Drosophila melanogaster: one gene and its partners. The protein of the gene in region 2 interacts with the protein of the main gene of each other region in a pairwise test. Each region holds a gene or a part of one and is shown on either strand. Other genes may lie near its edges.

The links.
Region 1: the proteins of CG5111 (region 2) and blow interact in a two-hybrid assay, tested with the Drosophila melanogaster proteins (one large-scale study listed by BioGRID).
Region 3: the proteins of CG5111 (region 2) and Mf interact in a two-hybrid assay, tested with the Drosophila melanogaster proteins (one large-scale study listed by BioGRID).
Region 4: the proteins of CG5111 (region 2) and mRpS31 interact in a two-hybrid assay, tested with the Drosophila melanogaster proteins (one large-scale study listed by BioGRID).

What each region holds. Positions count from the first base shown.
Region 1 is NT_033778.4:7,581,076-7,589,107, forward strand, and holds the start of blow (blown fuse), read right to left. Parts: upstream 6,005-8,032; 5' UTR 5,857-6,004; intron 4,411-5,856; exon of another isoform or gene 4,283-4,410; 5' UTR 4,036-4,282; coding exon 3,981-4,035; intron 3,148-3,980; exon of another isoform or gene 3,094-3,147; coding exon of another isoform or gene 3,060-3,093; intron 1,854-3,059; coding exon 1,539-1,853; intron 1,280-1,538; coding exon 1-1,279. Other genes in the region: CG1360 (uncharacterized protein), read right to left, coding at 7,429-7,896.
Region 2 is NT_033777.3:25,504,607-25,508,811, forward strand, and holds CG5111 (uncharacterized protein), read left to right. Parts: upstream 1-1,668; 5' UTR 1,669-1,757; coding exon 1,758-3,602; 3' UTR 3,603-3,673; downstream 3,674-4,205. Other genes in the region: CG5107 (uncharacterized protein), read left to right, coding at 611-673, 734-1,312.
Region 3 is NT_033777.3:15,177,257-15,181,969, reverse strand, and holds the start of Mf (myofilin), read left to right. Parts: upstream 1-1,699; 5' UTR 1,700-1,762; intron 1,763-2,619; exon of another isoform or gene 2,620-2,648; intron 2,649-2,789; 5' UTR 2,790-2,840; coding exon 2,841-2,931; intron 2,932-3,480; coding exon 3,481-3,690; coding exon of another isoform or gene 3,691-3,749; exon of another isoform or gene 3,750-4,713.
Region 4 is NT_037436.4:16,003,442-16,007,111, forward strand, and holds mRpS31 (mitochondrial ribosomal protein S31), read left to right. Parts: upstream 1-1,751; 5' UTR 1,752-1,848; coding exon 1,849-1,886; intron 1,887-1,950; coding exon 1,951-2,406; intron 2,407-2,472; coding exon 2,473-3,109; 3' UTR 3,110-3,158; downstream 3,159-3,670. Other genes in the region: hzg (herzog), read right to left, coding at 458-539; mib1 (mind bomb 1), read right to left, coding at 3,292-3,432, 3,492-3,670.

The DNA of each region.
Region 1 (8,032 bases), on a different chromosome or scaffold from region 2:
GCTTCCGTCAGCAGGTTCTCCTTCTCGCTCTGCTTGCACTTGGCGTTGGTTGGTGATGCACTGCCCGTGTTGGTCGCCTTCAATCCGGTGCTCTTGTTAAGGCGACTGAGGAACCAGTTTCGTGCCAGCTTGTCGCAGTCCTTGCTGACCGGACTGGATTGCGGTGAGGTGGTTGACTTGCGCTGCTTCTTCTGATCCTTGGTGGGCGTTTGGACGGGGCTGGTCAGGGGAGAGAGCATCTCCGGTTCACTACCATTCGAATAGCTCTTTTTCGCTGCCTTTTTCAGACGATCCGGACTGGGACCGGCCGCTGATAACTGGGTGGAGAGCTCACTGTGCACTGTTTTCACCCTGGCCTGGAAGTCCAGCGATATGCTTCCGTGCAAACTGGAAGGCTGCGGTTGCACCTTAATATCTCCCTCGTTGAGTAGTCCCAGGGATTCCAGCTCCCCACTTACAGATGCCACCCTGGAGGAGGTGTCCTGCAGCGGCTGTGCCGGGCATTTGGGCACATCGTACTCGAAACGTCGGGCGAGGGCGCTTGGGCTGTTGCTTTTCTCCGGCAGCTTAGGGAGCACCATGGAGGAGGAGTCTATGAGACCATACACGGGCGAGGGCTCCTCGTAGATGATATCCGCTGCTGTGTAGGTGGATTTCTTTTGGACCGGCGGCGTGGGCAGTTTCCGGGGCGGTGGAGTCTTTAACGCTGAATGAGCACCAGCATCTCCGCGGATGGCCGCCTCAATGGCGTGTATCCACTCTTTGGCATCGACTTCGTTGTTGGCCTGGTACACGAACTTCTTGTTGGGGTCGTCTGTTGTGATCTGGAAGCAGATGTCGCGCCGCTTCCCCTCTCCGAAGTGTTCAATCTCGATGGAGGAGCTCTTCAAGTAGAGCGTGCTGCTGGGTCGACAGGCGGTCGGGCCGTCGGCATAGCACAGCATCCAATCGTTGAGGATGCCACAGTAGCACTTGCGGGTCTGGTCGAAGAACAGCCGCTTGGGCACAATCCTCTGCAGCTGTCCGTACTTTGTTGACCTCTGCAGGGACAAGTGGCCAGCGGGCAGATCTGCATACGGGCAGTCAATGAACACCTCGTGGGTAAAGGTGATCGCCTGTTGCGCCTCATCCTCGTCCTGGCCCGCTCCCTGGCCCTGGCAAATCTCGTAGAGCTGCTGATGTGGCTCCTTGTCCTTCGCTGCCGGAACCGGTTGATTGACGGAGCAACGATCCAGGGATCCGCTGCTGCCCAAATCAATGTACTCCCGCGAGGCGGACACTGCAATTACGGGTAATTAGTGCTAATTGTAGGCATTAGAGAGGTACAGGTACAGTAGTGCTTCTAAAGCCTGGCTATCCGCTTTGCAACCATTATGCTGGTTTAAGTCTCTTTCAACAATGTACCGTTTTTTTTTAAATATAAATACATAATTGTAGAGCTTACAAAAGTTACCAGTATACTTTAGCATGGTTTATTTGGATTTCAGTTAGGGAAGCATGACTGTATGTAATATGTATGAGTAGTGTTCAGCACTCACGTGAGCTTTTCGAGGGTGACGGGGAGGCAAGCATCTCCAGATAACCGCTGGGACCGGTCTCCGCGCCCACCTTGCTATCGACACAGTCGACCAGGCTGGAACGATGGTTAGCTGCCGCCTGCTCGTCTGCGCATCCCAGCCCTGATCCCAGTTCCAGTCCCGATCCCGATCCCGATGCAGAACTGGCTGCAGCCAGCAGGATTTCGCAGCGGGCCAGAAGAGCGGCGGTCTGCTCGGCGGCCGTCACATGGAATAGGTTCGAGGTGTTCTCGTACTCCGAGGTCTCCAGCGAGGCTCGGAAGTGGGCGCGGACATCTGAAAGCAAGCAGAGGGGAGGATCGTAAGCTCTTCAGCTGGCTAAATAAGGCGGCGGCCCCATCGGCTATTATTTTTAAACGCATCATTGAGCCTAATGGCGGGGCAGTTGAGCAACAGAGTAGCTTTCTTGGGCGGGCAATTAGTGGGCCAGTGGAGTGGTGGTGCCTCTTCTGCTCCGACTTCTGCAGCCGTGACTCACTGGCTCTACCGTTCCCAGCCAGAAGTACGGTCACAAACGCATGTGGGTATGTACATGTACATGTACATAAGTGACCTCATAAGCTCTTGCTCAAGAGTCAACTGCGAATTGACCGGGGCAATTAAAAATAATTTCACTGACCAAGAAAGTTAACTCTGGTGTCTGTTACCCCACCCTCTGTCCAGAAATGCCCACATCCACAGAAAACCAGAAGACGCTGAAATTTGCCCGAAATCTTGTTAAAACTCAAGCACGCAAAGCTCCGGTGAACTGCTCTTAAAAGTAATATGTCCAAATATGGAAATAAGAAAAATATCCAAAAGTCGTGCTGGCGAAATGCGAACTGGAAATGCCCTTAAGAATTTGAGATCTTAACCAGAAGAGCTTGGTCACTTGGAGTTTTTTTTGGCAACTTTCCATCATTTAATTGTTAAAAACGCCTTGGACAAATAATAGTTTCAGCTTGAAGCCAAATTCTTATTATATATAGTTAGGAGCGATAATTTTTTTTTTAAGGAAGTGGAAACAAGACTTAACTTAACCGTTCAGTTAAAACGTTTCGTGCAAAGGCAACTTTTTGCTCCCAAACTATGGATAATTGGGGATCTTGACAGTGCATATCTTTCCAACCAAATGAATTAGGGAAAAGGGCATTAAAAGTATAATTTGTTTGATCTGTATGCCAAATCAGCACTCTGACTTTGGCCTTTAAGTCTACAGCAGAGGAAAGATTACTAGGTGCAAACTAACCAATTTAAAATGGGATAATAATGAAGAAGTTTATCCTATAAAACATTATAAGTATGTATATTTGTTATCAATAAGCTTGTCTCGCTGTAATATGTGTTGCAGAAACCAACTGCTAAGTTGATAATTGTGTCTTAATCAGGATCGTTGGGAAACTCCTCAGAAACTCATTTGTACGATATATGTATCAATGTGAGGCATACACAAACAAATATAAATTGAAGCAACAGTCATCGGAGGAGGGTGGATATACATACATATATGTACGTGCTCCTCTATTCCCCTGATCATGCCCTGAGAGCCACTGAACCGAGACCCGAGAAAGTGGAACCGACTAGGGAAGGTCCAAGATGGGCTAAAAGAGCGCTTAAGGCTTAGTTCTGCGGCATGTCCAATCCGCTGTTTATTGTCTTTCTCGTCCACATACACATGTAGAATGATTTAACGAAATAACCACAAATATATATATGTACATATATATAAACGATTCGGGGGAACAGCGCTCCAAAGAGGAGCCCAATTGGGACTCGATAAAGTGTACGAAATACGCGCGAGGCGAAGGAGGAGGAAGAGGAGGAGGGCCACTAAAATATCCAGAAGAGTCCGATGGTCTGGTCACAGGCCAAAAGAAGAACAAAAGAGTATTAAGCTCGGGCGCCTGCGGAATGAGTCAATACTAATACTCCGGCACTGGGTTATTGTTAATGGTTATGTTTTGGATCGCCTCCTCCTCCTCGTCCTCCTCTTCCGCCTCCTCCTCCTCCATCTCTTCTCAACTTTGAGTCGGTGTGTAATTTTTTGATGGCGCTGTTTGCCTGGCGAAATTAACAAAGTTTCTGTTGATCTATCTCACACTAACTGGCTTCAATTTTGCTTTGCTGATTTTAGCTACACGCAGAAAAATAGGTATGCCATAAGTAGAATTTTCTTTATGAGATAGGAACACTATCGATGGAAACAAAAAAAAAAAAAAAAAAAAAAAAAAATCATAAAAATAAGTTTTGAAGAAATATGAGATTGGCTATTGTAAACCAAGGATTATTTTGCTGCTTTCCAACCGCTTTTAAATAGTTGTCTTAAACAAATACGAGTATCTCATAAGCACTTTTATGTGCTGATAAATAGCTACTTATACTATTAACACCCAAGACCGATTCTTTGAGAAAAACCTGGCTTACCCAACAAAAACTGCTCAATTTCGGCCAGCTTGGTAGTTGTTGGTTTCGGATTCATGGCTTCTAAATAGTATTGTATCCGCACTTTTGTATTCCGATTTTAGTGTTCAGTGTTAATTTGAGGCGATTTGCGTTAATGTGCGTTGAGTGCTAGTTGTTGTTTGGCCGGCCGAACGCTTGATTTCTCGCCCGGGCTTTATTGTGGCTTCTTTGCGATCTGGATCGGAATAGTCATCTGTATCTGTATCTGGCATATCCACCAACTGCACACCACACGGCGTTTTGCCTTAGAAATTAACAGTTTGCTGTCAAAATGGGATAACACATTTGTATTTTTATTAGATCACATGCACAGCAGAACCGATCGGATGCACTATCTTCGATTGCGATGACGGGAGTGGAGCGCGGAACGGATTGCGACCGGAGTGCTACTGAAGGTACACGCATATACCCATTCCCGGGCTATCAGATGCTCGATGCTGCCGTGCCACGGCAACTACCTCCCCCGCTGAGGAGTCGACCTATAAATAGCTGGGACATCGATGCAGCAGCACGGATATCCAGATACCTAGACATCCAGACAACCAGATTTCCAGACATTCAGACATTCAGATACAATGCAATCTCTATTGCGCTCTATTCTCTATATTTCGTTTTTACTATTGTCTGCTCTTTTCGCCTTTTCGGTTGCACGCTTCGTTTGGCGCCCCATGGAAAATGAAAATCAAGCGATGACGTTATGTATCTCTGGGTATCTGGCGGCTAGAGTATCTGGATTCGCTGATGGGGAAACAGTGTGTGCTTGCCATTAAGTGTCATTACGACATCCCCATTTATTGGGCCTCTGCACTTGTCGGGTGTCTCCGTTTTTGTTTATAATTTTCAGTTTTCACTCCTCTGGCGTGCCTGTCATTTGCGGTTACCACTGTGCTGTGGCCAAGAACCGCATACAAATCGGGCGGCCACACGCAGAGGAGCTCGGACCCGGGACTTGAAACTGGGGACCTGTGCCTGCGACGGGGCCCCTTGTTTGGGGCCAAGCCCTTTAATTGTGACTCATCTGTGGGCGACGCGTGTCGCCACAAAGAAGCGACCGTCTGTCCGGCGAGAAGATGCAAATACTCTCGCACTTCTGCTTACCCAAAATTGTCTCTGCTACAAAGAAAAATATCTCAAACTGACCGATTTGAATACCCAACTTATTAGTGTGCAAATATTGAAATAACTTCTATATTTCAGAACGTTATTGTCAGTTAGGTTGATTGATAGATAGATAGATAGATAGTCAGTCAGAGAGTTTCTCGAACTTTATGGCCATGTTCTACTGTACAAGCGAACTGCTGACCATTTCTCTGGGCCTCACTATATACACCCGCTGCCATTTCTACGTGTCCAGAGACAGCTTTTACTTTTCGGTTCTTTATTTTTTATCGTGACCATAAAACAGAAATGTAATTTGATTTGCACCGAGCGGCCGAAGTATTTGCTTCCTTTGTGCCAGCCGTTGAAAATATGTACACATATATAGTATATTTATTGATTCAGAACATTTGCAACTGGAGACCGCGACACCTTTGTTTGCAATGGATAATCGAATCGAATGGCGAGCTCCCAACTGGCTGTCGTTCCGCGGAAAAGCCAAACAAACTGTTGGCCAGCTGGCTTCGCCGCGCGAGACTTTTCCGGCCCCGAAACTCAATGGAAACCTGTGCGCAGGCGTGTCCGACACCCCACTGCCACTGCCATCGCCATCGCCAACGCACTCCCCACTCCGCCGCGCGCTCCTTGCGCACTTCCGGTCATTTCCGATCCCCCCGAATGGCCGGCTTCCTGCTGCCGAGGAGCCCCCAATAACGAATTACGAAATGCATCCACGCACCGATTTCGGTCTTGCATCCGGTTTTCCACTGCGTTCTGACTACGTTGACACCTTTTCGCTCGCGGGCGAACTGTTCACCGCCGGAGCCAAGAAGCGAGCGCGACTTTCCGGCTGTTGCGCCACCATGAATCACTCGAGCTTAACTGCCCGACTTGGAGCTCGTCCGCTCTAGGAGCGCCAGCTTGGGCCGCCGCCAGCCGATGGCCACCCGAACGCAGCCGAAGTGCCCTCGGCTTTGGATCTCTCTCTCTCTGCACGGCGCGAAAAAATTGAACTTAAATTCGGTACGCAAAATTTCAATTCTAAAGAAATTACTCATTCATAACTATAAGACAAGTTTAAACAGCCTACGATTATGTTAACCATTCTAAGAAGGTTCGCTAAGAAGTAGTGCGATTTATATGACCAACTTCTATCAAAATTTAGATGACTTTTTTAGTGTTGCAGTGAAATATTATACGACTTTGCTTTGCTTTTTCGGTGGAATAAATAGCCGGCCGGCTTGGCGGAGTTGGATGCCCACGCCCAAGCGGCATGTCCCATTCGGATACCCCATCCTGGAGTAGGCACCCGAAAATTGTACCGCTCTTGCCACATTTGGAGAGACGATCACGCTGCTGATATCATATTTTAGAGAGCATCATGCCCATTTTGGCAATGGCAAAACAGGCCGCTACACTACGGTCGGGCTCCCATAAGTAGAACGACTTAAAGGTGCTCAATCTGCCATCAAATACATTGTTGCGCACAATGTACGCTCGATAGTCGAAGTTCTGGCTCCCCTTTCTCAGATATTTAATTACAGAATATTATTGTTTACAACAATATAAACATTGCGAATAATTGTACATATTTGTATTATAATTTCAAGACTCTCTATTACAATTTATGTTTGTATATCACATTTTCTTAATATTAAGTAACTGTCCTTAAAATGGCATTATTTCCCTAAGGTAAACTTTTTTTTCCTCATTCTGCATGTGCATGCATACAAGATGTTCGTGCCGAGTGGCTAGTCTGTGGAACCAGAAATCTTCTAATGTGGCAGGCAGATGTTGTTGCCGCAGCTGCCGAGAAATCCGAGTCTTCGGCACAGAAAGGGGTAAGCAGAGGGCCATGGGTCGAAGCCGAGTCTGGAGCCTTCTCCTGTGCGTGTGCTCTTCACAATCGGCGGCAGATAAAGCGGCCCGTCCAGAGCCGATCGGCTGCCCTTTTTGGGCAGCAGTTTTGAAGGACGCGTTCATGGGATGCTGAGGCAAACAACTCAATTTTAATTAAACGTTGCGCTCCGAGAAATAAATTAAGCATGCTGACCAGGTTGGCTGCGCAATATCTGGACAACCTTGGGTCCCCCCGCCTGGACTTGTCTCCGGCAGCAGTGATAAGTGCATAGCCGTTGCGTGATTCGACCCAGAAGACCGGGCGAGTGGATAACAGGTTCCCACCTCGGCTGGCTTTATCAAGCGGCACAAAGAGTCTGATTCTAGTATTGTGCTAACGCTTAATTATGTGCCACAACAAGTATTTTCATTCTTTGTACTTTAATGCATGGCCGGAGCTGTCTTCTGGCCGCTACTTGAGGAACGCTTGGAGGCGATTCTGCTGCGTTTTGCTGGCGTCTTTAAACGCGTTCGACTTCAGCTGGGCAGCTATTTGCAGCAGTACGTTCTGCTTCTGGGTTTTGGACTGCGTTTTTGGTGCGGTGGGCGCTGGCTGGGCAGGCTTCTTCTTTTTCTTCTTCGATGTCTGACTTGGGTTTTGGGAAGCTATGCCGACTGGTTGGGACGCGTTTTTGGATGGAGCTGGCGATTTCGAAGGCTGCTGCTGTCGCTGAGGCGCTTTTTGCTGCATTTTCAGGCCTGCATTGATATCTTTATTCGGCGCCTGAGACTTCTTCGTTTTGGCCTTCTTTTTGTTTTGGCCCGCTGGCGCAGGTTGTGTGACTACCATTGTCTCCTCCGTGGCTTTTACTTTGGCGCGCTTTCGGCTCTTCTCCAGAGCCAACATTGTCTTGTGATGGCAAACATCGCAGTCCACGGCCTGCAAAATGAATTGGGTTGTGGTTAGAGTGGCAGGAATGGGTCCATATGTACACACACAAAACACTGTATAAAGATCTTTCAGCTTCCTTGGTGTTAATTTAAATTATTATTTGCCCAGAAGCTTGATACATAAA
Region 2 (4,205 bases):
AACCACACGTTACCATTTATAACCCGAACAAAGTGAACCGAGCGCGTTAAGCTGACAATGGCAACAAATTTTTTTCCTTTTGCCGTCTATTGTGCCCGGAAAATCTGGTGGCAGCCACCATTCAATTGTGGTTCTTTTCCTCTTTGTCTGCGGTTTATGGCTTTTAATTCGTTCTGAGCCTCGATTCTTAAGGGTGCCCAAGTGAATTTCGCACTGACATCAACGGATATTGTGTGATAATTGCCACAAGAAAAATATTCGACATTTTTAGAGCGTACATTTCGTTTGCATTTAAATGGGAAAATTAATTAATCATTTCAGATTTGTATTCATTTAAAACACTTCAATTGAGCAATATGAAAATTAACCGATCGAAAATGTATATTTTAAGTATCTTAAGTGGCTGATAAGTGCTGATAGATAGATACATATAAGTACTTTTGAGGTAGGTAGATTGATTACACATTTCTAGATGATAGCCGTATAAAAAAAAGGTATTAGATAGTTGGAGTGGGCAATTCGATTAATTTCTGATAAGACGTAGTTTTCAGCGGGTATATAAACTGATCTTCACTACTGGCCGAGAAAATATTATTAATTGGACAGTAAAATGAAAGCCATCACCGTTTGCCTTTTGGTTCTGGTTTCGGCCACCTGTCTGCTGACCACGCGGGTAAGATTTGCCAATTAAAAAAAAATTAACTTAAATATAATAAATATTTCTTTGTTTCAGGCCAATGCAATAGAATTGCTGGAGAACGAGAACTTCGACTATGATTTCGACTTTGAATCGGAATTGGAGCAGTTGCTGGATGAACTGGACAATGACACTGACTACATGGATGTGGAGGCACAGGGCTTTATTAGAACATGCCTTAAAATCCTTCGCAAGGCATTGAAAACGGTTCGAGGCACCAACTGTATTATCAAGGAGGTGACAAACATCCTTAGTTCATGCACCAGCTATGTGGATGCTATTGATGCCTGTGGCACTGCCATTCCCAAGGATGTGGCCAAGATTGTGGACTCCGTTAAGGAGATTATCAAAATCTGCGACGATATTTTGCATCTGCATTCGAAACTTTGTGCCACGGATAAGTCCGTGGGCTCGTCCATCAAAAACTCGGCCAAATGCTTCTGGAAATTGTTCAAGGCATCCATGAGGCTGACCCGAAAGATCAATAAAACCCTAAAACTGATTGCCAAATTGCCAGCCGATACCAGTTCCTGCTTCGTAAATGCCACCAATAAAGTTACAGCGTCCTTTAACTCTTTTCTGCCCAACATTGATGTCTGCATCGAGTCTATGTAAATATATTATTATTAAAAAATAAAAAACTCTTAAGCTTACAGCAGATTAGATTTCAATTCTCGAGCCTTTGTTCCCAACAACCTATGAACAATAATATAGTGATTTGATTGAAAATAAATTTTGTTTCATTATGATAAGATAACTTCAATTTCCAACTATGAGCCGAACTGAAGCGATTCGATTAAGATTCGTTAATAAATACAATCGGTATCTAGAGAGGGTTCTTGAACAGCTTTATACTGATATGGAAAATTAATTGTAATTAATTATAAATTGCAATTAAAGGGATTTAACTTACGTCTCTGAATTTATAATAATTTAGCATTTTTTAGCATTTAGCAAAAACAGATGTTAAGGTAACACTGAAAGAGCACTGTCAGAGTTGAAAATGTTCGTCATAAATTTAGAAATTATTTAGTTCGATTCGGGCACGACAGCACGAAACATGTCCCAGATAAACAATATATTCATTAAGCTGCGAGCTCGTCTGCGGGAGCGTGATATCAAGTTGTGGGAGGAGCCGTACTACTTCGAGGAGGTGGGCAGCATCGAGTCGGAGATGGACCGCCTGGCCAGGGACATCAGTGGCGAACTGGGCATCAGTGTGTCGGACTGCAGAATTGCCTTGGGCGAATTGCAAGATGGTGCCTTGCGGAAGCTGGCGGCTCGCCGAGAGTTCAATGACACCGGATTGGCCACGTTCAATGTGCGGTGTGTGGACAGCAAGGGTGGCACCGTGCAAATGCTGGAGATCAAGTGTTCGCTGGGTGGACTGGGCTCGGATCTGCAAGCTGAGGTGGCCAAGAAGTTGGATATCGTTGATTCCAGTCATGTGAAATGCATCTCCGGAGGACGCATCATCAATGGGCAGAAGACACTGGCCTCGCAGGGGCTCAAAACCAATCAGCACCTCATGGTGGTTGTGGGTGGAACTAATGAAGGTCAGGAGTTGCACGAACGTATCCAAAGGATTCGTGCGGACTTGGAGTTAGTTGCGGATGCAGATCGCTTTATGGAAATGGAGGATCAGGATGGACGTCCAATTTTCTTGCCACGCGAGGAAAATCGATCCCTATTGATGGCCATGAGCATGTACGAAGTGGCCAGAGTTGCCATGCATAAGGAGAACTTCGATGAGGCTCTACTCATCCTACTCGAGGCCGATGAACTCTTCTCCCAATGTGACTCAAAGCTCCTGGAAGGAGTGGATAACTATGCCTTAATCAATCTAGATATTGTTTGGTGCTATCTGCGCCTGAAGAACATCACCCAACTGCCAGATGCACAGCGACGTTTGGATATTTGCGAGAGGGGCTTTGTCAAGAGCTATGGCGAGCAGTTCATTCGATTGTTCTCGATTAAGGGTCCAAGTAGCCCGGAAAGAGCTTTGATCATGAGACTGCACCTGCTCCAAGGTGTGCTCCTCTTTCACCAAAATCGCCGGGATGAGGCCTACGAAAAACTGGAGGTGGCGACAAAGGACTTGTATGAGGTCAAGATGAATGACACTGAGCTAAGCACTCTCGTTGAAATGGGCTATGAGGAATCGGATGCCAGGTTGGCCTTGAGATCCTGTGCGGGCCAAGTGGATAGGGCCATTCAATATATCCAGGAACGCAGCGAGAGAATCAGTGAGGAGCGAAAGAACTCGGCTGCCGAGAGGCAAGTCAACCAAGAGATGATTTTCGCCGGTCAAGGAGGAGAATGGGTCAATCCACGCAGCATTATTAGGCTCATGGAAATGGGCTACGAAAGGCGTTTGGTTGTGGAGGCTCTGAAGAGGACCAAAAATAATCTCGATCGCAGTTTGGATCTACTGCAGCGTCATTCAGATGAACTTAGGGCCAATCTGCCGCCCATTCCTCCTGTCGATGAATCGTTACTTACTACTCTACAGCACCTTGGATTTTCGGAGATTTCCGCTCGAGATGCTTTGGAAACTACGGGCAACAGTTTCCATAAATCTCTGAAATTTCTATTGAAAAGTTTCCCCAACGAATCGGAATTACTTCATGTTATTGAAACCATGACAAAAGTTTTGGAGGTTCAAGAACCTACGAGCTCAACTAATGCGACTGCAAATAGCACCACCCCACTCGTAAACTTATCCAACAGCAAGGTGAACTTGCTCCAGACTGTCCTTAGCGAGGCCAAGTCGGAGATTGAGTCTTACAATGCCTTCAAGAGATTCAACGAGAACCTCGCCGAGAACAACAACCACTACTTAAACTTGCCCTTGGATCAGGAGGAGCAAATTCTGATCGAGTATAAACGTTTGCTCGAGGGCTAATAAGAAAAAAATAAGATTTTTTTTAAATATTTGTAAATCAAAAAACAGGCAATAAATAAGTACGTACAAATATTTATTGTTGCTTTGTTATATTTTTAACATCTTTTCTCACCATGTTACCATTTCATTTCACAGCCATTCCACTATAGTCTGAATGGTACCTTTTTGTGGCCAAAATTAATAACATAACAGCTAGTCAATTAAATAAAAAAAAAATAAAAAAAATCCAGCTTATAGTGCGTCCCTTCAAAAACTCAAATACTTATTGCCCAGCAAAGTATGCTATGCATTTTGGTTGCTGATGTGGCTGCTGCTATTTGCTCACTCATGTGCATAACGTCACAGTTTTTCACAATTTTGTGTATGTGTGTGTGTGCGCGTGCTCTTTGCGTGTGGCTGACTTTGTGAAAATTAATAAGTTTTCAGACCCTCTCGCCAATCTGCCAATGCCATGCGAAAGTTCTGCAGATGATGGCCAAATAATTTGTCGTCCTGTTTTGTGGCGTTATTTCCAAATCGTTAAACCTAAAATAAACTCCGCTCAGCTTATTTCACTCTTCCATTTCTTTCTTCATTTCGTGTTTTTTTTTTTTCGGTTTACGT
Region 3 (4,713 bases), about 10 Mb from region 2:
GACGTTGCTTGCATATGTGCCCTCTAAATAATGAGCTTACATTTTGACCCCATTTCCCAAGGGACATAAATTTCTCTAAGATAATTATTTTGTAAGCCGCTAGGCCAATTAAAATATTTTTAAAATAACTAAATTTTATTTGAGATTCCTTTTAAGGGTATGCAATTCCTAGCCAATTTTTGTGTCTCCTTGAGCAAAACATCAAAGATGTTGGAACAAACACAATCAAGCGCCAATAAACTAAAATAAATTAAAATGAAAAACCTGAAAAAAAAACGAAAGTAAAATAAAAAGTTGCTCAATTCATTGTTCTGTGAAGCCAAAAAAGTGTGCCAGAAAGTAAAAGTTGAATCACATCACCGAAATCACTGATTGGCCGAAAGAAAAACCTTTGCCAGGTATTTCCCAATTTCCCGTGAGTTTTTGTGCATTTTCATTTGATTTTCGATTTGGTTCATCAAACCGCATTCGGTTCATTCAAAGTCAAGTTCAAGTTTAAATGACGCCGCCCGCCTGTTTAAGGGTAAAATTCACAAACAAGATTTATATAAGCTAAACAAACAAAGTCAAAAGAACATTTGGATGCAAGTGCATTTGGCCTTGAGTTTATCGGCGGAAAAAGAAAACACATGCAGGAAATTCTGTAAGCGATCTGCACGATTGAAAAGGTCAACATGATCTCCATGAATGTATTTACTATTATTAGAAACATATGTACTCCCAGATCTGCCCTTCAACTCGTTTCGATGTAATTGTATATGATGGGGGAAGCTTTACCCATCTTTGTTTATTCGTTTTCGTAGGAATTTCCCTGGAAAATTTGTGTTTAGATTATCAATCATTGGGTCGCACGTGAGCAAAAAAGATATACCCTACAGGAGGGTATAATCGAAAAAAATGAGTTACTAATGTTTTAAATAATCAATTAACGGCAAATTTTACATAACAAGCTAGAAAATATCAAACTATTCATACAGATTTCATTATAAATAATATATTGTGTGCTTAAAGTATCTATTATTTGGTTAAATGTATCTGGACCAGTTTTGTTTATTTACCTGTGTGGGCATGTTGCTGGAAATGATTTTTCCATTATCAGGAAACTAAATTATAGCTAATGCCAAAGCCAAAAGAAAACATAAACAAATAAACGGAATTTAAATGCTTTTATGGCAAAAATTCCATCGGCCTCTAACCACATTTTGAATTAGTTAGTTACAAAAAACCAAATATTGTAATGTATTAGTTAGAGCTTATAGTTCACTGATCAATTCAATACCACAAGTGACGCCTTTCCCTTGAAACATTCAAAGAATATGTTAAAATTATGAAAAACCATAGGAAAAACAAAAACAGAAAATAGGGTGTGGGATTTTCTGAAAGAAATATGGGCTCATATGTATTGTGTATGTGTGGTATGACTTGGCTGGCTTTCTTTTTATGATCATCGCCAGCGTCATCGCGATTTCGGTATTGAATCGTTGCAAACAATGAGTGGGTGCCACCACACGATCTATCAGAATGTGGTGGGAAAGCTTTCCCATAACCAATCTCCGGAGCTTTGCCACACAGATGCGATGAAAATCGCTCACGGATAGAGCAACCTACGCCGTAAAGGAATGCGCCGTGCTTTTGGTGCCGAAACGGAATGGCAAAATTCTGAAACGAGGAAAATTGGTGAGGCGAATTTTCTTGGGGTTTGCAGTTTGAAAAAATTCTTCGTTGAGGATAGATCGCTATTTTTTAGGAGTAAATTTAAATTGTAAGCGAACCCGAAACATATTAAACAACATACAACTGAATAGTAAATTAAATAATTATAAACGAAATGAAAAACAATAAAATCAAATTAAATAAAGTGCACCATCACATCTGAATGTGGAGACGAACAATTAACTGGTGAAATAATTATGGAATTATGATCGCATTATGAATGATCCGATATGTTCCATAGCGAAAAGACATTGACTATAATTATATAAGAGAGATCGTACTCAATGACATTTGATACCGAAGTGTTGGAGCTCATCAAGAGTTTGTGCAGTGAAATATAAAAAACAAAAATCCCACATTGAATTAAATTCAAAATTAATTTAGTTTAATGGATAATAAAGGCCTATTTTAAACATACTTCAACTAAATTGTTCTTAGACTTTGCACACTTCTTCGATACTTAAGTAAATTCCGCTAAAAGCCAGAATAACAGAACGATTTCAACTCAAGGACATTTAAAAATAAAACCCAATTTAGCTGCAGCTTACACACAGATACACTTACATCCACTCACCCATTTACACGCACACACTGACGACACCTAGAATATTTGTTCTCATACTCAGAAGTGTGAAATTTGCTATGCAACAAAAAAATATTTTTATATTCGAGCAACCAGGAGAATACCACGATACATGAAAAATCACAAAAACCGAACCGAAATATATTTATTTTTAGTGAGATTGATCTTGCGTTAGCTGCTGTTGCCCGATCGCGGTATTATATTAGATTTTATGTATATGTTTTATAAACTTTGCACTGCTCTAAAGTGGCACACAGTCTGTTTATTTTCGAACCGAGAGACTTTCAACGCGAAAGCAAAAAATTCAACTGAGAAAACATCCCATCAATCGAGAGACAAGCGATTCGAATTCGTGCGTGCTGCCTGGCATTTCCCGGGAAATAGATTAAATTGAAAACGGACAAAAAAAAAAAATAAAATAAAATAGGCGGAAAGGAAATTTGAAACACATTGGAAAATTGCTAAGCCATCTCTCTTCCCAACTTTATTACAGCGAACGAGTTCAACGATTTTTTCGTGAACAGAACAAAACAAATCGATCAAAATGTTCAAAAACCACTTGGAAATGATTGGGCGCAATGAGAGCCCCAGCAAGAAGGCGAAATTCTGGCAGTCCTACATCAGGTCCCTGAAGGGTAAGCATTCACTAAATAAGCTCAAAAATTACATTAAAAGATAGGATAGTTATTCAAAACTACTATTGATTGCTTAGTCACAATAGTAGGGAGTTTGCATAGTTCCAAAATAATTCAAAAAACAATTGAAGATTAACTCGAAGTGTTCCCATTTCGATATGATTAAGGGACACTCAAAAGTGATATTATTAAACTCTGGTCGCCAGTGAGCAACACAAATAGCTTAGCCTATATGTGTATAGTCTATTTATTTTGGCAGGTGTCATATCAGCCAAGCTATATACTTAGACACGCTCTGCTGGGAAAGCTTTTCGCCATAGTATATTCGAATATATAGAGAGAAATTTGTAAAATATATATGCTCAGGCCTTAAACAAAGAATAGGCTAAAATATAGGATACACATACAGGGGGCGCATCTATGATAGAAACCGAATAGAAATCATACATTTCTGCAGCGCTGGCATTGAGCCAAATAGTGAGAATAGAATAGCCGAAATATTTGAAAAGCAATGAACTAACGCGTCGTTATCCAAACAACTATTTATAGGCTCCGAGGATATCCGTGCCCACGAGGCGCCCCGTGCCTCTCGTCCCTACAGCTCCTACCTGGACTCGCCCTCCTACAGGAGCATCTATGACGAGCCCGCCACCGCCAATGAGCGCGTCCAGTCCTCTGGCTACAGATATCTGCCAGTGAGCCGCGACACCTACGGCTACTCGCCCCGTGCCATCTACGATCATCACTACAGCCGAACAAGTAAGTTGGTACCATATACGGACCACATACTGTACTATCTACAGCCGATTCCCGCCTAACTGCTTCACACAGCCGAGTATCTGTATCTTAATGCTTCCGAAATCGGTGGCCTTGCAAATGTGGATATTGAACTAAGATATCCTGTTATTACCATTTAAAGTATATTTCAAATAATATAGATAAATGATTATGATTGTTTACATAACAAATTATCCGCCATGAAACTAAAAGATATTTTTAACATTCTTGAAACTGGAATAGTAACATAGATGAAATTCAGGTTCAAAAGTTTATGTCAATGCTTTCAATCTAGTTTTTTAGAAAAAAACGTTTAAAATTTTAATTAAAATTTAAAATTAAAAAAGGCAATCACCTGATTGTTATTTGCAAGGTTACATAAGCTTCGGTCCATCCGAACGCCACAAGTTCTTTCAGCCTTTCTGCTTCGCTTCGATGCGCCATCCATCAATCAGTCAGTCAGTCAGTCAATCAGTCAGTCAATCAGTCGAGTCATTACAATCATCTTACAACTGCAATCTCGCCACTGCCTGCTATTGAAGCTTTTGACAACACCTTGAATATCTCAAAACCGCCATATTTTTATGCGTTTCATTTGAGATGAAAACTGGTGCGAGCGCTATGATTTCATAAATTTAAAAATAAAAATGGACAGCGCCAAACGGCCAAATACAATTACGTCAATGAAAATTTTCGTTTCGTATCGTTTCGTTTCGCCTCGGTCGTGTTGATTTTGGCAAAAGGCCTCAAAAATGAACAAAAAAAATAAAAAAAATGAAGACAATAATATAGGCAACACACACAGGCGCTATATATCAAGTCAGGTATATAAGCGGAATTTTTGACTCAATTTTTTTTTTCGGTGCGTGCTCTGGGATCAAATGACTGTGGCGGCCCTCGGTGCGCGGAAACCGAAGTTCTCTTTTCCGATTTTCCGAATTTCCACACACTCACACACTGGCAAAAGCCCCAAGCACCCAAATCCGAACACCCAGCCCCCTGAAG
Region 4 (3,670 bases), on a different chromosome or scaffold from region 2:
AATATTTAGCTTAGACAGAATTGAACAACTTTTTCCAGCTACAAGTTAATTGCATGTTGTTTGAATATATTTTTCGAATTAAAAGCACTTTTGTCTTTCATCAGTTTGTTTTTGGAGTGGTTCCTGTACAAATTAAAAAGGCCAATGCCATTTAACTTGCTGCTACTTTCGGAAAGTACGACATATGTACAACTAACTTATTCCCACAATTATATTGACCGCAATTGGGTGTGTTAGAAAGGTCAGCGGGGTGTTGGGCCCTCTTCTTTGGGAGGTTATGGTGGGTGGTGGTTGGTAAGTGGGGGAAACTTCTTGGCAGCGGACAAGTGTCCTTTCGTCTTTGTTGTGACGCCTTCGAGTGGCGATGAGTCATGAAGGGAGCTTTAAATATATGTATGTGTATGCGGACTGCGTTTTCAGCGATTTCCCCAGTTTGGCCCCCATTATTTGTTCTCACCTTTGTCATTGGGATAGCTGGGATAGACGTTCAGTTGCTCGTCGTCGCGGGAAACTTGCGTTATTATTGATGTTGCATCCATTTAAGCACTCGGTTTGTGGCTCCACTTCGCTTAACAGGTTGATAAATCGGATTCGGATTCAGATACTGATTCAGATCGGTTTCGTATAGGATAGCTGCAAAATGTTGCGCACACATGAGAGATAGAGATACATTGGATATGGCAATTATCGCGAGATGATTCCATGTTTTCTTCGTATATATGGTAAGTGTCGTGCAGTATATATGTCGTACATATATAATACATCTACCACGTATATATAGCTCACACACACACACATGCACCAATTGATAGCCTGCCCCAGACAGTGGAATTTTACAATTACGCTTTGGCCGTCCGTTCGCTTCGTTTTATTTCTCGATGCAAATGGGTTTCCCTTTGATATTCACCTCGCTATTTATCGCTCTCTCTTTCGCTCTGTTGCACTTTCGCCTCTCTGTTTTAGTAAATTTAAAACTTTTCAACGAATTTCAATAAAAAACACTTTCTTTCTTTCCTTCGCTCTTGTTTTTGGTTGCGCTCATTCTTTTACTTCTTTATCCGCGTCTGCTTTTCGCACACAGCTTCGCAGCGTTTTATTTATAAACGCCCACACAGACACAGCACTCACACACACTCTCGCACGCACACTAGCTCGGCCGCTGGTGTTTTCGTTATTTCGTCTCGTTATTTATTTATTTTTTTTATTTTTTGCCATTAATTAATCGCGCAAAATAACAAAACGCGTGTGTACGTCGAAAAAAAGTAACAGGAATAGCGCAAAAAACAAAACGTGTGATTAGTGTGACCGCGGTGGATGCGAGACTTATTACCAAGTGCAAAGAAAAAGTGGTAACATTTCGTGTTTACCTTAGAATCACAGGTTGAAGAAAGGCTTGATTATAAGTTAATTACTTACAAGGAGAATGTAGAATTCTATAAAAGGAGCTTGTTTTGAACTACATAATTATTTTCATAGATTTCCAAATTCGATAATCAAAGGTCATACTATCTGGTGCAATTTGGGCTGCCAACTGTGGTCAAGTTAATCTATAAAATTCTTGATTCAAAATGCAATTTTAAGAACATTTTATTTCAAATTATATCAAATCAGATAAAAAACAAATGTCCATGAAATGATTAGGTTAGTTAAGGATATTTTCAATCAAAACACTATAAGAAATAGGACAAGGGAAGCCAAACATAAAATAAAGCCAAATTTAACTATAAACTAGCTTAAACGGCAGTGCAAACAGTTCATCTGGTCTGGCAACTCTCCGCCGAATTGTTGTTACGCGAGCGATTTCTTTGGTCTTATTTCTAGTTAAAATTATCAAAGAAATATTATAAAATGTTGGCCGTACGAAGTTCCCAGAGATTGGGCCTACGGTAGGCCACCCGTCTAATTTGAAATAACCAAAAGAAATCCGTCACTCGACTATTTATTTTTCAGTTCCCTGCTACCGTCTGCCTTCAAAAACGTGGGATTGGTCAACTACTCCTCTTCGCAGTCCAAAAACGACGATGGATACTCCTCTTCGGACGACGAAAAGCCCACGAAGAAGAAGGAGGAACCTGTGGAAACGGCGGCCCAGCGGCTGAACCGCCTGTTGGGCACCATGCAGGCCACGGATCAGCTCTCGGCATCGGACTTTCCACGTCCTGGTGATGCCAACAGGAAGCGGAGGGAGGCCCAGAAACAGGAGGCAGCCGCCAAGAATGTTCTAACTGCGGCCAAGAACATTGCTAGCATGCTGGGCACCAGTGAGAGCGACAAGAAGCAGACAGAGTCTGAGCTATTGGCCAAACTCCTTGGCCATGGAAGCGAGTCCTCTTCAGCAGCGACCGGAGAAAATCAGACGGCGGATGTTTCGGGATCTCCTTCTGGTGATAAGGAACTCAATCTGAGGTGTGTAAAAATGATTTTCTCGCATTAATGGATAATCTAATAAAATTTATTTTCCTTACACAACAGTGATATTATCGTGGGCATGAAGATCGATCGTCGTCAGCAGCCGCAGCAGGTGGAGCAGACCCGCGGCGAGTACGTTCGCCGCTCGCTGGCTTCCAGATTCAAGCCACAGAATCGAGATGGGGCTTATCAGCGGTCACAGAGGCAAACCAAACGAGAGGCTGAATCCTTTACGGGCAGTGTCAATTTGTACGGCGGGGAACCGTTGGGTATCTTCAAGGATACCCAGCTGCCGATTTCCAACGACATCCTTTCAACCTGGTCACAGCTGAGTGAGCGGGAGCTTAGTTTACAAGCTTCCCATCCCCCGGCAAACTACTTCGAGCAAATGGTCCTGTGGACGGATCAAAAGAAGGTGTGGCGCTTTCCCATCAACAATGAGCAGGATTGGGAGGACGAGCATAACGTGGACTTCTCGGAACACATTTTTCTGGAACAACATCTCGAGGATTGGTGTCCTAGCAAGGGGCCTATTCGCCATTTCATGGAGCTCGTCTGCGTCGGCTTGTCCAAGAATCCCTACTTGACTGCCCAGGAGAAGAAGGATCACATTTTCTGGTTCCGTGACTATTTCCAGGCCAAGAAGGACATTCTGAGGGATCTGATTAGCAAGGAGCCAAGCAAAAGTATTTCTGCTTAATGTTTTTGTTTGAATATTTGTTAAAAATATATTTTTGCTTTATAAGACCAATCCGATATATAGTTATATATATGATATTGTGTGTGTATATATGTGTGTATAAGAATGTGAGTCCTTTAAATATCCTAATACTTCGAAGGCTGTGCAGACTGTGCGCGGAATGTGTGAACCGGGAACGGGCTTCAGAAGAGCAGGATGCGTTTTTCCACGGTCTTGCGGCAAATGGGACACCCCTCAATCTGGTCGCCACACATCTGGCACGTGCCGTGGCCACATAGGAAGACCATGTTCTTTATGCGGTCAAAGCAGACAGGACACATAGTCTATAAGATAAATTTGAGGATCAGTCACTGAACATATTTTCAATCTTATTTGAGCTCACCTGTTCCTTGATGTCCTGCAACTGCTGCTTCAACTTTTGGACATCATCCATCTGGAAGTTGTTGACATTGGAAGGAGCCACCATCGCGTTTCCAGCTGCTGACAGATTCGAGACATTCGAAGAGGCTGCTGCAGCGGCCAGGAGATTATTCTGGCTATTCAACTGATTGCTGCTGCCCG